Arabidopsis thaliana: one gene and its partners. The protein of the gene in region 2 interacts with the protein of the main gene of each other region in a biochemical or structural test. Each region holds a gene or a part of one and is shown on either strand. Other genes may lie near its edges.

The links. The genes of interacting proteins can lie anywhere in the genome.
Region 1: of the proteins of AT5G47660 (region 2) and MPK16, one has a biochemical effect on the other in vitro, tested with the Arabidopsis thaliana proteins (one large-scale study listed by BioGRID).
Region 3: of the proteins of AT5G47660 (region 2) and ATMPK8, one has a biochemical effect on the other in vitro, tested with the Arabidopsis thaliana proteins (one large-scale study listed by BioGRID).

The regions. Positions count from the first base shown.
Region 1 is NC_003076.8:6,344,270-6,349,973, forward strand, and holds MPK16 (mitogen-activated protein kinase 16), read right to left. Parts: upstream 3,999-5,704; 5' UTR 3,408-3,998; coding exon 3,384-3,407; intron 3,228-3,383; coding exon 2,819-3,227; intron 2,731-2,818; coding exon 2,603-2,730; intron 2,511-2,602; coding exon 2,451-2,510; intron 2,309-2,450; coding exon 2,159-2,308; intron 2,090-2,158; coding exon 1,934-2,089; intron 1,851-1,933; coding exon 1,639-1,850; intron 1,555-1,638; coding exon 1,450-1,554; intron 1,368-1,449; coding exon 1,195-1,367; intron 1,114-1,194; coding exon 827-1,113; 3' UTR 501-826; downstream 1-500. Other genes in the region: BPM1 (BTB-POZ and MATH domain 1), read left to right, coding at 1-96, 191-372.
Region 2 is NC_003076.8:19,310,880-19,315,407, reverse strand, and holds AT5G47660 (Homeodomain-like superfamily protein), read right to left. Parts: upstream 2,662-4,528; 5' UTR 2,401-2,661; coding exon 1,958-2,400; intron 1,526-1,957; coding exon 772-1,525; 3' UTR 515-771; downstream 1-514. Other genes in the region: NF-YB6 (nuclear factor Y, subunit B6), read right to left, coding at 1-70, 281-347; NUDT2 (nudix hydrolase homolog 2), read left to right, coding at 3,183-3,494, 3,810-3,875, 3,979-4,116, 4,214-4,291, 4,370-4,420, 4,516-4,528.
Region 3 is NC_003070.9:6,243,798-6,249,430, forward strand, and holds ATMPK8 (Protein kinase superfamily protein), read right to left. Parts: upstream 4,016-5,633; 5' UTR 3,869-4,015; exon of another isoform or gene 3,795-3,868; 5' UTR 3,786-3,794; coding exon 3,519-3,785; intron 3,292-3,518; coding exon 2,889-3,291; intron 2,797-2,888; coding exon 2,669-2,796; intron 2,567-2,668; coding exon 2,507-2,566; intron 2,349-2,506; coding exon 2,199-2,348; intron 2,087-2,198; coding exon 1,931-2,086; intron 1,840-1,930; coding exon 1,702-1,839; intron 1,588-1,701; coding exon 1,514-1,587; intron 1,427-1,513; coding exon 1,310-1,426; intron 1,220-1,309; coding exon 1,021-1,219; intron 922-1,020; coding exon 844-921; 3' UTR 501-843; downstream 1-500. Other genes in the region: AT1G18160 (Protein kinase superfamily protein), read left to right, coding at 5,329-5,633. UniProt on the Arabidopsis thaliana protein: MKK3-MPK8 and CAMs-MPK8 modules negatively regulates ROS accumulation through controlling expression of the RBOHD gene during wounding.

The sequences.
Region 1 (5,704 bases), about 13 Mb from region 2:
CGGTTGCAACTACTTTGGCCCTAGCAGAGCAGCATCATTGTTTGCAGCTAAAAGCAGTGTGTCTCAAATTCGTGGCACTGCCAGAGAACCTGAAAGGTAAACACACAAGATCTTTCTTTTTAATCGATCTGAATCAACTCTGTTCACATGATGAGACTTGTGTCTGTTTTTTCCCTTTTGTTATGATCAGCTGTGATGCAAACAGATGGGTTTGATTATCTGAAAGAGAGTTGCCCATCTTTACTAACGGAGCTATTGCAGTATGTGGCGAGGCTAAGTGAACACTCTGTTATAGTATCTGGACATCGAAAAGAAATATTTGCCGATGGTTGTGACGCGAGTGGAAGACGAGTGAAGCCCCGGTTGCACTGAATGGGAGAGAAAGAAGAAAGATTTGTGCATTGTATAATCTCTGTTATGGATAATGGCTGATCTAATCGGATCTAGCAAGTACAATGAATCGTTTTCAACGCGTTTTCTCATAAATCAAAGATCCAATGAAATTTGGGGTTTATTGTTGGTGCATATCAGATTATTAGGTGAAACAGATTGAGTTCATGGGATATAAGAATCGTAGACAGTGTAAGTGTTACAACGTAGATAAACAAAGGTTGTTTTAAGAATACAAAACTATGAAGACAAATTACATGACAGGATCTGTAAGAACTTCTTTTATCTTCTCACGCTTCCTTCTCTCATTTCGCTCTTAAGCATGTCTTCACGTTTCGGCTCTTGATAACACAATGGATGACTCAAAGGGATACTCTTTTTAGCTCTCCCTGAGACGTGAGGTGGTAAAGCTAAAACTAGAACCATAACATCATGTTTAATACCAGCGACTCATTGCAGTATCTTGTGCTGCAGACACTTTTTGTGGTATATACTGAGTGTTTGGCTTCAATCTACTTGGACCTTCAGCAGCGGTGGCGCAATCTTCATCTCCTCTGTTGCTTTTGCAAGGTTGAGTCCTCTTTGGGTATTGAGACGCAGCAGCTGGATTTCTGACCATCCTTCTCTGTTGTTGTTCAAGAGCTTCAACGCCTGTGGCTGCGCCGCAGTTGTTATAGCGTAACACTGATCCAACTACTTTACCAGGCCTAGCTACTGCAGCACCTGCTTCATTACAACCAGATAAATGTTCAGGAGACAGAGTTATTCTGCATCATAACATTATATACAGAGAGGGTGAGAGACCTTGGATTGTTTGAGGGACGTTGATAGGAATTCTCGACATTGGCATCTGGGCATTCCTGTCTGCACCCCGAGGTCTCTCGTCTCTAATGCTACACTTGGAGAGTCCATCAGTGACTTCAGCTGAACTCTGTTGTGCCACCGGATGATTGTTATCAGAGTACAATACGCAAGCCCTGCAAAACATAAAAAGAGGCTTTGTTGAGCTGTTTCGAAAGAATCCCAAATGATCAAATTTTTAAAGGACGTAAAGCATACCTTGGTAATGATGCATGCTGTTGCCTCTCAGGGGGATTATGAGAAGTACCATTCTTGTAGTGTTCCTCGAGGTAAGCAAATTGTTTCTTGAAATGTTCCACCGCACTGCAGAATGAATAATACATTAACCATAAGAACATGGATAATACACAGGAGTATAGTATGAAGCAGGTCAGCTCAGGCCGGTACCTCGGGTACATAAAGTTAGTTGGCTCTGATCCATCCAAGTATTCTTTCAGCATCTTTGGGTGGTACTCCAGAGACTCTCTGTATATGAGCTCTCGGACGTCTTCTTTTGTGATCCTCCGCCTTTCAAACTCAAATTCCAACTTTGTGACAGGTTGAGCAGAAGGCTCTCTTTCAACCTTAGCTAAACCCTTGAAGTACACATCTGCAAGCGCCTGAGGTAACACATAAAACCATTTAGTTAGCTATAACCAAAGTTACATCATAAGGAGTGTAAAGAACGAAATGTATGAACCACCTCTTCAGCTGTAGGCCGGTCCTTGGGTTCAAAAGACAACATCTTTTCTAGAAGACGAAGAGCAAGAGGATCAGTATGTGGGAACTTATGTGAAAAAGGAATAGGCTTCTTCTTCCTCATGCTGCTCAAGTATCTTCGAGCTTTCTCGTTCCTAACCTGTTTCAGTGTAAGAAATTCAGCCAAAAAAAGAAACAATGCTTAAGCATTGTGGAAAGGAACACATACCCTTCCAATGGCTTCAGCAGATGGAGTTCCCAGCATATCCGTCATCAGATCCAATTGATGGACCACATTTTTCCCGGGGAAAAGAGGTTTCCCTGTTAAGAGTTCTGCAAAAATGCACCCGATGCTCCATATATCTATTGCCGGTGTATACTGAACAGAAGCATAGATAAAGAAAAAAAATGTTACCATAAAATTTTATAATCTGAATGAGAGAGCTATAGTGTCTACTGACTAGATTCCCTATGAAAATTTGAAACATTCGATGAAAGTATATATACAAAATCATGGTCACCTTTGAGAAAAAAGATCCACATAGTTCTGGAGCCCTGTACCATCGAGTAGCTACATAATCCTGCGATCAGAAAGCAGTAGGAATAAAAAATTGGTTTCATACCAAAAAGAGTAAACTTGTAAAGAGTAAGCATTTAAATTACTACTACTCACAGTCCAGAATATCGCAGTCGGTGTATCATTGAATGCGACTCTTGCAAGTCCAAAATCACAGATCTTGAGTTTGCAATCAGCATTTGCCAATATGTTTTTGGGTTTAAGATCCCGATGAAAGACATTAGCTGAAAGGAAGAGAAAAAAAAAGTATTTTCAGAAAGATAATCATAAACTTATACTAATCAATGAAATTTTATTGCTCGCTAGCTTAACCTGTGTGTATATACTTGAGGCCACGAAGAAGCTGATAGAGGAAAAACTGATAATGCTCAGGAGTCAAATCATCATTTGCCTTAATAACCTGATGCAAATCAGATTCCATAAGCTCGAAAACCACGTAAATGTCTCGAAACTCTCTTCTTGAAGGCGGCAACAAGATGTGTTTGATCTCAACAATGTCAGGATGGCGTAAGAGTCTAAGAAGTTTGATCTCACGAAGAATGCGAGTTGCATCCGAAACATGCTCAAAGATATCATTGATTTTCTTAATCGCAACTTTCTCTCCGGTATGTGTATCGTAAGCAGAACAGACAACTCCATAACTTCCTTTACCAATCACTTCCTCTATTCTGTATCTGCTTCCTTCACCATATTCCGTGAAGAAATCTACCTCAACTGATGACTGAATATACAGAAAAATCTATTGTCAATATCAAAAGCTTCAATACAGAGAAAGATTAGGACTAAACTAAAAGGCAGTAACAGTAAAAAGGATTGCTACAGATCCTAATCAGTTCTAATAAGCAAATCTGATACATAAGAGATTGAAAAATTGGACCTTTTTGCGGTGATCAGGCTGCATCTTCAGCTACAGGGCATTCAAAGGACGCTTACGAAGACCAAATGTAATAGCTTCTGAAACCCAAACTTAGTGAGCTTTTGAATCAAAAAAATGCAAAGACTGAGAATTTTAGTTCCAAAGGCAATGTCAAAAACAGAGAGCTCTATATCCAAATCCCGAAATCCAGAATCGATTGAAACAAATCAGAGTAGTTCCCGAGACCAAAAAAAAGGAGGCAAATTTATGGGGTGAAACAAGGAATAACCTAATCGAGATTTCTTTGCTTTTTGAAGTGAAATCAAAGAGATCAAAAGAAGGAAGCGATGGGTAATTTGAGAATCACTGAGATTGAAGAAAGACGAGGTTTTTATCTTCTTCGATCAATCTCTCTGCTTGAAATGGCTAAAAGGAAAAAGGAGAGAGTTTTTGAAAGTCGAGAGAAGCTTTTATGGTTCAGAAACCCAAAAATGATTCTTTTGAGCTAATAAAATTTCTTTACAGGATCTGAAATCTCACGAAGCAGACGAAGAGGCAAGTTTATTTGCTCACTTTTGTAGAAGAAAGTGTAGAGAGGAGAGATCTATGAGATGAAGAACAGAACAGAACAAATTATTAAAATATTATTATTATTCGTTTCTTTTATTGTGATAATTGAAAAAAGCGGATAAGTGGAGTCTGATTATCGTTGTACGAAAACTCCAATTTGCCCCCCAAGGTTTATGGGTACTTGCGACTTTTGTCTTAAATCTAGCTTTTGGATAATGTCCAAACGTCGAATATAATACAGTGTGGATATTTTTGTATAAACTATTTTAATATATGCTCTTCTTAATGAATAGATATCCGATTTATTATGGATTAGTGATGACTTATAATTATTACAATAATAAATAGTTCGTTTACTTTATAATTTTCTTTCGTGTCATAGTCGTTGTTAAAGACATATAAATGAAGTGGATTATCCTATATTTCGAATCCGATTGAAATGAGTGGTTTAAATTTTTTTTCGTATGCAGTTAATGAGTAATCTTACTTATTTTTAAGATATAGAATTTGACCGATAAGACATACTTAATTATCTAGAGACAATATTTATGAGTTATGTACAATGGTACAAGAAACTTACAAAAACTTATATATGCAATCGTCAATCTAGTATTTTATTTGAAATATGTATTTCGTATCTAATATCTTCTGTCTTTGGTGGGTTCTTTGAAATTGCTTCATAACTGTAGGTGCTTGCATGCGTAAACTTTTGCATGGTTGGAAAAATTGCATTTGCATCGATTTCAAACGTATAAATAAAGCGAAGCTTTAAATCTTCAAGTAGATGTCACTACAAGAAAACACGCCAGTTGCGAGGGAAGAAACCGTCGCTAGTCTCTCGCAAAAAGCATTTAGCGAGGGAATTGCGACGAACTCCAGTTCCTCGCAAAACGCGCGTCGTAAAATCAAATTCGTAGCAAGTTCCTCGCAAATGTTGCGAGGAACAAGTTGCCTCGCAAAACACACGCAATTTGCAAGGGAAGCAATCCGTAGCAAATTCACAGCAAATTTCGGGTCTCGCAAGTTTCTCGCTAGTTGCGACGGACGACCAGACTCGCGAAGCACACGCAATTTGCGAGGGACGTACTCGGTAGCATATTAGCTGCAACAGTAGCCTCGCTCTTTCCTCGCAAGTTGCGAGGGAATACTTCAGTAGCAAAGTAGTCGCAAATTCTTTGTCCCGCTAATGCCTCGCAAAATTTGCGATGGATTTGCGTGGCTTTTATCTGTAGTCGCAAATCCGTAGTAAAGTTTGCGATGGATTCGCGGTAAATAAGCGACTCTTTTCTGTTTTGTTTTAAGCATGATTACTGTTGAATATAGGGATTACTGTTCTACTTAACAATATTTAATGGTTATCTTAATTGGATTTTTATACTAAACTTTGAAGTTGAATACTAATTAAGAAACCTTAAACTCATATTTAAAAGCTGAAATTTTAGGTTTCAAGTACAGAAAAAGAAACTGAATACAGAATGTTAGAAGGCCAAATAATTTTACATAACAAACCAACAAAAGATTCAAGTTTTGATGAGTGAAAAAGAAACTTAATACAGAATGTTAGAAAGCCTCAGATGGAGATGACCCAGTGTTTGGGTTAGCTACAACAGCCTCAGGTTCGACAGCTTCAGGTCCGATCCCAGCAGTTGTGGCATTAGGCGCATCAGGTGGATTGGAGCTGACTGGTTCAGTTCTTGAAGAGGATCTGACTCGAAACAAGGCAGCAAACTCTGGATCCTTCTTGGCAAGGTAATCAAAGTATGCGTCAAAAC
Region 2 (4,528 bases):
GTTTTGTTAGGCTGGTTGAATTCTGGAGGACGCATACTGCCCTCTGCCATCAGAAAATTCGCTGCTAATCCTAACAAAAATAAGAAAAATGGAAGTTTTAGTGCATAATGGCTTCGATGACGTCTGCATGCGCGGTTTATAAGATTGAAAAGCTATTTCATTAACTGTTCGTCATGAAAAGAGTACAGACATGACAATGGAGGGATTGCAGAGAATGGTTTCGCATGCAACTGAAATGAAGAGAGCCTGTGAAAAGAGGGGGTATAGAGAATGGCACTACCTGGTGGAGAAGGAGTGGTGTTGTTCACGGACAGCTTGCGGTAGCCATGGAAGCCTCCACGTTCCATATCTTTCTTGTTCTAAATACACGACTTTTGTGTTTGTGAATATCCCTATAAATAATAATAACCAATGCCCGAAATTAAGAAGCATTTGAAGAAGAGAATGGAATGAGAGAGAAGAAAGAGTAATTGGAATAAAGCTAATAGTGTTGGCAAGTGTCAGCATTTGTAATTTCAGACCTCACAAGTTCAACAACGTGGCAGCCATAATCGATGTGACCGAGGATCCTTCTCCTCGTCTCCCTTAGCCGTTACAAAATCCCAATCACCCCAACGTATTTGTCTTTTTTATTCGAACCTTCTACAAATACAGAGCCGTAGAGTTTTAAATTATAAACTACACCAAAGATATAAAAATTAAACTCGAGGTAATCATCTACAAGTTCTCCCGTTTTGCGTGCCAAAAACACCTAAATTTAAAATCTTTCACTCATTTTTCCCTCTCTCCCGAGGAAATGGTCTTGTAAAAATTTCCAAGTTTCTCAAAGTATGAGCGAGTCTTGCTGTGCTCAGGCTGTTTCTGCCCACCTTCCGTCACTCTCCTATAGTACTTGTTCATGTTCTCCCACTTCTCCTTACACTTTTTCGCAGATCTTTCGTACCCTCTTTCTTTCATTCTTGCTGATATCTCATCCCAAATCGCTCCCTTGTTGATCCCCGTCTTCTCTTCCACATCGCTTCTCGAACTTATCAATGCCTGCACTTCCTCTTGCGGCCACCTTCTACCACTGCTGCCACTGCCGCTTGAGTACCTAAACTTTATCTCTCTTTCTCTCTGAGCGGATTCACATTTCTCGTCTTTACATTGTTCCGGAAGAATCTGCTGGAGTGGTTGCGGGAATTCACACTGTTTAGGGATCTCGATCTCGTCACCAGTAACACTTCTGATGAAAGAGATGAGAGACAAGTTGCGTGCCATCTCTTGCTTCCGTGCTTCTTCATTCTGTGTCATCCTCTCGGTTTCCTGTTGCCTCCAAGCTTCCTCACGGCGTATTCTCTCCACTTCCATCTTCTCCATCACATTAATCAACTGATTATGCATCTTCTCCTGCCGCTTCATCATACTCCCCACAAGCTTCTCCAAGAAATGCTCCAGCTTTACCCTTGTTTCCCGCTTTCTTTTACCCGTGACGGTCTTGCGAACGTCTGGAGATGAGTCACTATCGCTGCTATCAACAGAGGAGCTGCAAAATCAAAAATTGGAAAGTACTTATCAAAAACTCAAAGCTTCCAACATGGTTACACTATCTAAGAACTAATAATCCAAAAGTTCCGCAGAATATATAGACAAACACTGCTTAGAAGTGGTATAAACCAACACTGTAAAAGCTTGTAATGACGGCACACCAATCTGATTGATATCTGCAAAGTTTAATGCTTTAAGCTGAGAGTGTTCAGTGATGCACCAGTCAACCAATCTAGAATCAAATGATACCGCAAAGCTCAAATATATCAAGAGGAAGAGAATGTGTTTAGGAGGTCTCTACCAAACAAGCTTCTAATAAACGTGAAAAAAAATTAGACTCTTAATAATACAGAAAAAAAGTAACAACTTTTCACAGTAACAGATCCAAAGTTGAACAAAAAGCTCACATTTTTAATGGTGAGATTTATACCTGAGAGAGAGACCATCCCAAGAGATGCGATTTCGAGCTTGAAACTCCATTTGAAGAGGAGGAAGAGAATCATCCTCTTCCTTTGAAAACCCACGAGTCAATTGACCACTTTCCTCCACGTCAGCAATCTTCGATCCCAAAGGAGCTTCGAAGCAGCCAAAACCCATCTCCGGCAGCCTATCTAGGGTTCCGGCGAGAATATCAAGAGGATGTCGATCCTCCGACGACGACGGAAGCTTAACGCCACACCTTATAGGTTTCAATTTCTGAGGAGGCGAAGCCAAGTCTGCGAGCGTAGCCAAAGCGTCGTCGTTTCCGTTAGAACCCATTTGACGGGTACCGTACATCCACCCGCAACCACCGTCCGAACCATCGAATGGGTTAATATCTTCCTCAAAGTCGTCGCCGACTCGTTTCCGACAGTCGCCGGCGAGAAGTTCCATTTCGGGAAAAGGTAAAAAAAATAAAATGGGCGGCGTGAAATCCAGAAGAGACTGCCCAAAGTAAAAGCAATTCAAAGGGTAAAAAACTCTATATTTACCTTTATACCCTCAAAGGAGTAACATAACCTCCATTTTATCCTCACTTCACTTCAGTCGTTTTCTTACCCGTCGTTATATGACCCGACCCGAGCCCACCTGAGCTGAATATGTTCTGTAATTTGTATCTACACCAGTTTTGTGTAAAGGCAAAAAACACTTTAGCCCCGTGTGGCTCAGCGAAAGCCGCGGAGATACCGACATATTTTATATCATAATCCATAATCCATATTAAGATTGGGAATCTGAGAAAAATTAGAAGAAAATCATTGGTAATTTCTCTATCAAGCGTAGGTGTCACAACACAAACAATCCAGAGAAACTATTCCACGTACGTATTAACCTTTGACCTTAACCTTCTTAAACAGAAAATATTGAAGTTTTTATGTTCTTGTGATAGAAATATACAGTAACAGAATATTTTCTTTGGCCTTTATTGACATATTTTAGAAGAAAAATAGATTACTTCCTTGTTTTATTATTATTTCACTCATCATACGTTGTAGAAAGGGAACCGCAAAGTGAAAAAACAGGTTTTGTATGCTCAAATCCTTCAAACGAGTGATCAATCTATTTAGCAATTTAAAAACTTTCAGATTTATATAGAATTTGTTTTGTCTGTTACTTATTTAGGACAAATCTTTAGTGTAAATTGAGTTGAGAGTTTTGTTTTTTCTTCTCTCGTAATGATGACTTGCCGTTTGGCCAAAAGTTATGGTTTAATCAAATTGTTGTTGTGTAATAAGAATAATGGCCGTCGTCTTCGTTTTCCTCCGGCTGATGGGTTCTCTGCGTTTCACAGTTGCTCCACCACGAGGAACAGATCCATGTCTGCTTCTAGTTCCTCCACAAATCCCATGTCCCGTGAGGACGCAACAACACTGCTTCCGTCTGTTCAAGACAAGTACGGTGGCGTGATGACCGAGATGACTCATCCCATGGATCCTTCTCTCTTCTCCACACTTCTCCGATCCTCTCTATCTACCTGGACTCTTCAGGTTCTCTCTTCCTTCTTCCTCTTGTTAAATTTGATCTTATTGGATTCGATCAAAATGACAAATTTTGTTATCCGAATCAAGATACTGGTACCGATTTGTTGTTACATAGAAGAATCATTGTAAAAGTTTGGGTGTTAAAAGTGTTAGTGTCACTATTCCGCTTGAAAATTGTTGTATTCTAATGCGGGCCAGAAACTCTCTTTCACTTTGCTGCAAAAAAAATTAAATTCAACTTTTCCACTACAGTAATAGACGGTGAATAGGACTATGAACCGATCTACTGTGAAATGTTTACAAACGTTTTTATGTACGCAGGGCAAAAAGGGAGTGTGGATCAAGTTGCCAAAGCAGCTTATTGGTCTTGCTGAAACTGCTGTTAAGGTCTTGTTTTGTTACCTAATGCGCAATCAGATATCTTTAAACCCCCTTTTGCTTATTGTTTGGAGAGTCTTCATATCACTTACTGGTTGTGTATTATGTGTAGGAGGGATTCTGGTTTCACCACGCGGAGAAAGACTACTTGATGCTTGTCTATTGGATTCCCAAAGAAGACGATACGCTTCCTGCCAATGCATCTCACCGTGTTGGCATAGGTGCCTTTGTCATTAACCACAACAAAGAGGTTTGATTACTGATGAGATGAGATTTTTAGTGTGTCTTTTTGGAACATCTCCAAGAATGGATCACATCTCTTTTCTTTTCTGTATTTGAATCCAAAGGTGCTGGTGGTTCAAGAGAAGACAGGGAGATTTCAAGGTCAAGGTATCTGGAAGTTCCCCACCGGAGTTGTGAATGAGGTGCTGGTTCTTATTAAAGCTCATTACATGGTTAGGTTCAGCTCTCTGATTCGCCTTTTTGTGTTTGTGTTGAGTCAGGGTGAAGACATTCATGATGGCTCAGTCAGAGAGGTGAAAGAAGAGACCGGAGTAAGGCTTCTTCATGCCTCAACTTTTCACTGTCCTCTTTACAGTTTACATGAGACCAAGAGCTAATCCCACTCTTCTGCATCGTATGTTTTCAGGTGGATACAGAAT
Region 3 (5,633 bases), on a different chromosome or scaffold from region 2:
AAGTTTGGCGGCATGATCCATTAGTATAATGTTAGTTTTTTTTCACTTTTAAACATGCACAAATTCAATTAGTATTTCTACTAAATAATGTAAAAACAGTGTAGCCTAATTGCTTTAACCAATCTGGCGTCTGTGGACTTTGTTCGCCATATATACATCAACTTTTTGCAGTTTCTTTTTCTTATCGAGACTGTAGTTTGGAGTTGGTGAGTAAGCTCCCTGGAGCTCACTTTACTCGACCATACCATTATTTCTGACCTCTTTTTCAAAAACCCGATTTTGTTCATTTTTTTTCTTCTTCTTTTTGTCGTTTTATTTATTTTATTTTGTCGTTATGAGATTAGTCCAAGAATGGTATCAATTCAGATGGACCATGGAATATAAATAATAGATATTAGGTTAGTCTTCGTCATTAAAAAGCCAACTAACACAGCATTATTATTATGTGTGCTAATTTTTTAGTCTTATCTTTTTTACTTTTAAGAAGTCGAGTATGTTCTTCAGGTTAATATAATTTATTATATAAGACCCAATATCCCGGTTTGACCTGGACCGGATCATACCAATCACACAAACTCTCCCAAAGTACTGAAGCAAAGTGAATACTGAATAGTATATAAATAATTTCAAAATATGAGTGTTTAAAGAAAAGAGAGAAACAAAAAAATTACATGGAGATCGATGTTTTTATTTAAAGTTTCATCAAACCCCCAAAACTATTAAATACAACAAATCAAACCCAACCACGAAGATAGATGTGGATGAATGGAGAAACCAATTTCTTTTCACCAGAAAACTTTCGTGAAAAAAGAAAAGAAAAGAAAAAAAATAACTAAATCATTTTTAAGAATTGTGAAGAGAAGCAACTTTATCAGTAAGCTCTGCAACTGTTTCATTATCTTCTTCCTCAGCTATGGTATCCTGCAAACAAAGAGAAAAGAACAACAGTAAGCAAACTTCATCGTCATGTTCCTTTTCAAGATCTTCTGTTTTTCTTTCTTTCTTTCTTTACTAACTAACCTCTTTGTCAGTTTTAGATTGGACACCAATGCATTTAGAACCGCTGATGCTTGCACTCTTCATGAGGTTACGAGCACTGTAACCTCCTCCATTGTCTGCTTCCTCGGATTCCAAGGTTGAAGCCACAGCAGCTGCTGCTCTTCTCTCAACATCACTGCTTTCTTCTGCAGTTTCACCATTTGGAGCAGGAACTCTCTCTCTGCAACATCATCATAGAGAAGCACAATGCTCTCAGAGGGAGATTGAGAAGAGAAGAGAAGAGATAGAGAGATTCTGTGAAAGACATTACCTTGGCAAGGAAGCATGATGTCTGTGAAGTGCAGTACTTCTTCCTCCTCCTGCTGCTCCTGGTTTACCTTGATTTTCTTCAAGATGAGCAAATTGCCTTTTAAATCGGTCTACCCCACTGCGCGTAAACAACAAAAAGATTTATCGAGTTCATAACTTTCTGTTTTCAAGACTTATAGTTTCTGTTAACTGTTAATTAGCTAACCTTGGGTACATAAAGCTAAGCTGATCACCACCACGAAGGTATTCCTCCAACATCTGAGGATGATATTCCAATATCTGATATTTACAAAATCCAAAGAAAAGTGATTGTTAGGATCAATGAATAACATTGAAACAAATTCAGATTAAAGAAAAGGATATATGTAGAAGGCTTTTGTGTTTGTTTGTTACCTCTCGGTAAATTAATTCTCTGACATCATCTTTAACTAACTTCTTTCTCTCAAAGTCAAATTCAAGCTTTGAAATTGGCTGTGTTGTTGGTTCACGCTCTGAATTTGACAAACCACTGAAATATGGATCAGCTAGTGCCTGTAATATGAAAATCAAAAACGACGAATATAAGAGTTTCGTTCTGTATAAAACAAAAGGGAAAAGTAAAGCAAATTTACTTCTCACTTACATCTTCAGCTGATGCACGATCTTTCGGATCAAAGGCAAGCAGGCGTTCCAGAAGGCGGAGAGCCAAAGGATCAGCTTTAGGGAATTTATGAGAGAAAGGGACTGGTTGTTTTTTCCTCATGCTGCTAAGATATCTCCTCGCCTTTTCATTTCTAATCTGTAGAAGTCCAAGATTGCAAAGCTCATTACAAGGATTAAATTACTCTCAATGATGTATGGAACATTAAATTTGCTACAGAAAATATGAACAAGTGTTTTGAGTGACTAACCCTTGATATTGACTCAGGAGGTGGAGTACCAAGAAAGTCAGTCATTAGATCCAATTGGTGCACAACGTTTTTCCCGGGAAACAAAGGCTTACCCAAAAGCATTTCCGCAAAAATGCAACCGACACTCCAGATATCAATCGCAGGGGTATACTGAAATATAACAAGAGTAGACTTAGCTTGAGATGGCTGGTCTTCTCAACAACACTATAGAACCACACAACAATATTCTACAAAATAGAAAACTAGAAGCATTTTCCTGGTAGGGAGAAATAGCAAGAGTAGTTGGGTTTGGTGAAAAAGAATCTTACTTTGGAGAAAAACGATCCACAGAGTTCAGGGGCACGATACCACCGAGTAGCTACATAATCCTACAAAATCCATATAAACGAAATGAGCTCACAAGCATTTGAAAATAGTTAAGAGGAAGCCTAATGAACAGTTTTGCTTTCACATTGAGTTAGATGACTCACAGTCCAAAATATAGCGGTTGGGGCATCGTTAAAAGAAACGCGAGCCAGCCCAAAATCACAGATCTTCAATTTGCAATCAGCATTAGCTAGAATGTTCTTCGGTTTCAAATCCCGATGAAACACATTAGCTGAAAACAGAGAACCCTTAAGTGTTTCAATATTATCTATAACAAAAATCATGAGGATCGAAAGAGACCAATGTGTAAAACCAGAAACTAACCTGCGTGAACATATTTCAGACCACGAAGAAGCTGGTACAAGAAAAACTGATAATGCTCAGGAGTCAAATCATCATTCGCCTTGATCACTTGATGAAGATCAGATTCCATCAACTCAAAGACAACATAAATATCGCGGAATTCTCTGCGAGAAGGAGGTAACATGATGTGTTTAATCTCCACAACATCAGGATGACGAAGCAACCGAAGCAATTTGATCTCTCTGAGAATCCTAGTAGCATCGGAGACATGCTCAAACACATCGTTGATCTTCTTGATCGCAACTCTCTCTCCAGTGTGTGAGTCAACAGCAGAAGCCACAACACCATAACTTCCTTTGCCAACAACCTCTTGAATCTGATACCTGTTAGCTTCTCCATACTCCGTGAAGAATTCAGTTTCACCCTGAAGAATTTTATTCATGATTCATACTTAAAATTGACCAAAATGATGGATCAAGACAATAAGATCAATCAAACGAAACACAAAACTGAAACTTTATCCTTTTGTGGAAGCAAATGCAATAACACAGAACATTAAGAGAACAAAACAAGTCTCTTCAATCTCAATCAAAAGACAACATCTAAGAGCAAATAGCATAAAAGGGTAGAGAAGGAGAAGAAGAAAGGTACCTTCTTGTGAGGATCCATAGGTAAATGATTACGTTTAGGAACGTTAATAAGCGTTAGACCAGAGAAATCGAGATCTTCTTCAATAATAAGCTCTCCAGAGTTAGCGGAATGATTGGGGTTAGAGGAAGAAGAGAAAGAAGAAGAATTGAAAATGGGTTGTTCGTGATTATTATTATTATTGTTGGAAGAAGAAGAAGAAGAAGAAGAAGAAGGTCGCTGAAAAAGCCATCGACGAACACCGTCGACGAGATTCCCACCACCACCCATAGACCACTACTAGATTAGAAAAGAAAAAGATTAGTAATTTACAAAATTGGGTATCCGAAATTCCTTGAGAGCCAAACAATTACCGTCAAGTCACCGTCTTTCTCGCCGCGTCTCTCGGTTTTGTCCTTCGGAGTTGGAGACCATGTTCTTCTCCTATTTTTTCATTTTTTTTTTAATTTTCTTTTTATGTTTTTTTCATTATTTATGCTCAGATATTTATTTTTTTCCCCTGCTTGATTATTAGAGAGAGTGAGTGGAGGGAGAAGAACAAAATATTTAAACCTTTGGAATATTTCGACGACCCGGTTTGTCTATACCGGTTAATGATAACCTGATTCGGGCATATGCATTTATTGAGTATATGGGCCTACAAAGCGGCCCATACAATAAATGTATTTTCGTTCAATCACTAAACGGATTAAACTCAACCGGACAAGGTTCGAAATTAAGAAGATGTTAGATGTTACATTACAAACCGGAATTAAAAGTCTAATTATGAATCTGAGACACAAAAAAAGAGAGAGTAAAAACGCCTTGCTCGTTCGGTCGCGTTGATGATATGAACATATATTTCATCATGAGCTGAGCAGGTCCAGGAGTCTGTTGCGGTTCGAGCACATCATAGTTATTGGGTCATAAATGAATCCGACAGTAGCGTAATCTAAGCATTTTTTAGTGAATAATACGCTTGATGATATATGTGATATGTCATGGGAGGATAATGCATAAGGTGGTGAGCGAAGCATTTTTTCAGCCAAAAAGACAAAATTTTATTTGAATAAATGATATCAAACAAATCCAGATACGCGAAGGAATATTGAATATGGAAAGCACGATCGTAAACAATTCTGCGATTTATCATTTCTTATTTTTTTTAACAAAATGTACGGTTTTGCATGATATATTTGCATTAAAAATGAATTGGTAAGTTTTTAAATAGCTCTATATTTGCATTAAGCTTTGACTGATTGTACAAAAAATAGAGTAATTTTTTAATTACAGTAGCAAAAAAAAGCAAAACAAAATTCAATTCTCTCCAGCTCAAAAATCCACTCTTCATCCTCTACTATACTCGTATCTATCTATCTACTCTACTCTGTTTTACGTAAGTTTTTTTTAGTTGATTTTCTTTTGTCGGACTTTAAGAGAGAGAAAGTGGCGTCTTTGTGGACTTTCTCAATTCAGGAGAGAGTCAAAGAGAAGGAAGAGGCTTCGCTTACTTGCTGAGAAAAAAGCTCCAAACTTTCTCTTATTGGGTTTTTGATCAGCTCCGGAGATAAAAAAAAAAAGTATTTTCTTGAAATCGAAATCTGATCTCCATTGAGAGTCTTGCTACTTGATTTGGATTCCGATTTAAGGTTTTCTCGAGAATTCTTTTGCTGCAGTTATTAGATTTTGACGAGCCGTTGATCTGGACGGAGTTCCAGATCTCCGGGTCGTGGTACCAAGGAATTAGGGTTTTAGCACAAAGTTCTCGTTTTTCTGTGTATTCGAGGGATGAAGGAGTTTTCGGGTCGATGTTCGCTGCTCTAACATTTGGAGTATGAAGATGAACATGAAGAAATTTCTCAAAAAGCTTCGTATCACGCCCAATCAACGAGACGATGGTGAAGGTTCAGTCTCTAACAGAAGCAATAAGTCTAGTGATGCAGAACCATCTCCTTCTGATTCATTGAGGTCTCAAGATAACTCTGAATTCAAACCCTTTTTGGGTTTATCAAATTGGTTAAGCTCTGTTACTCACAGGAAAAGCCCTTCTTCTTCCAATGCCACCAATAGCAAAGAGGATGACACTACCATGGAACATGGTGGTCCCGTTGGGTCGGAATCTGGGATGCAGGGTTTGGG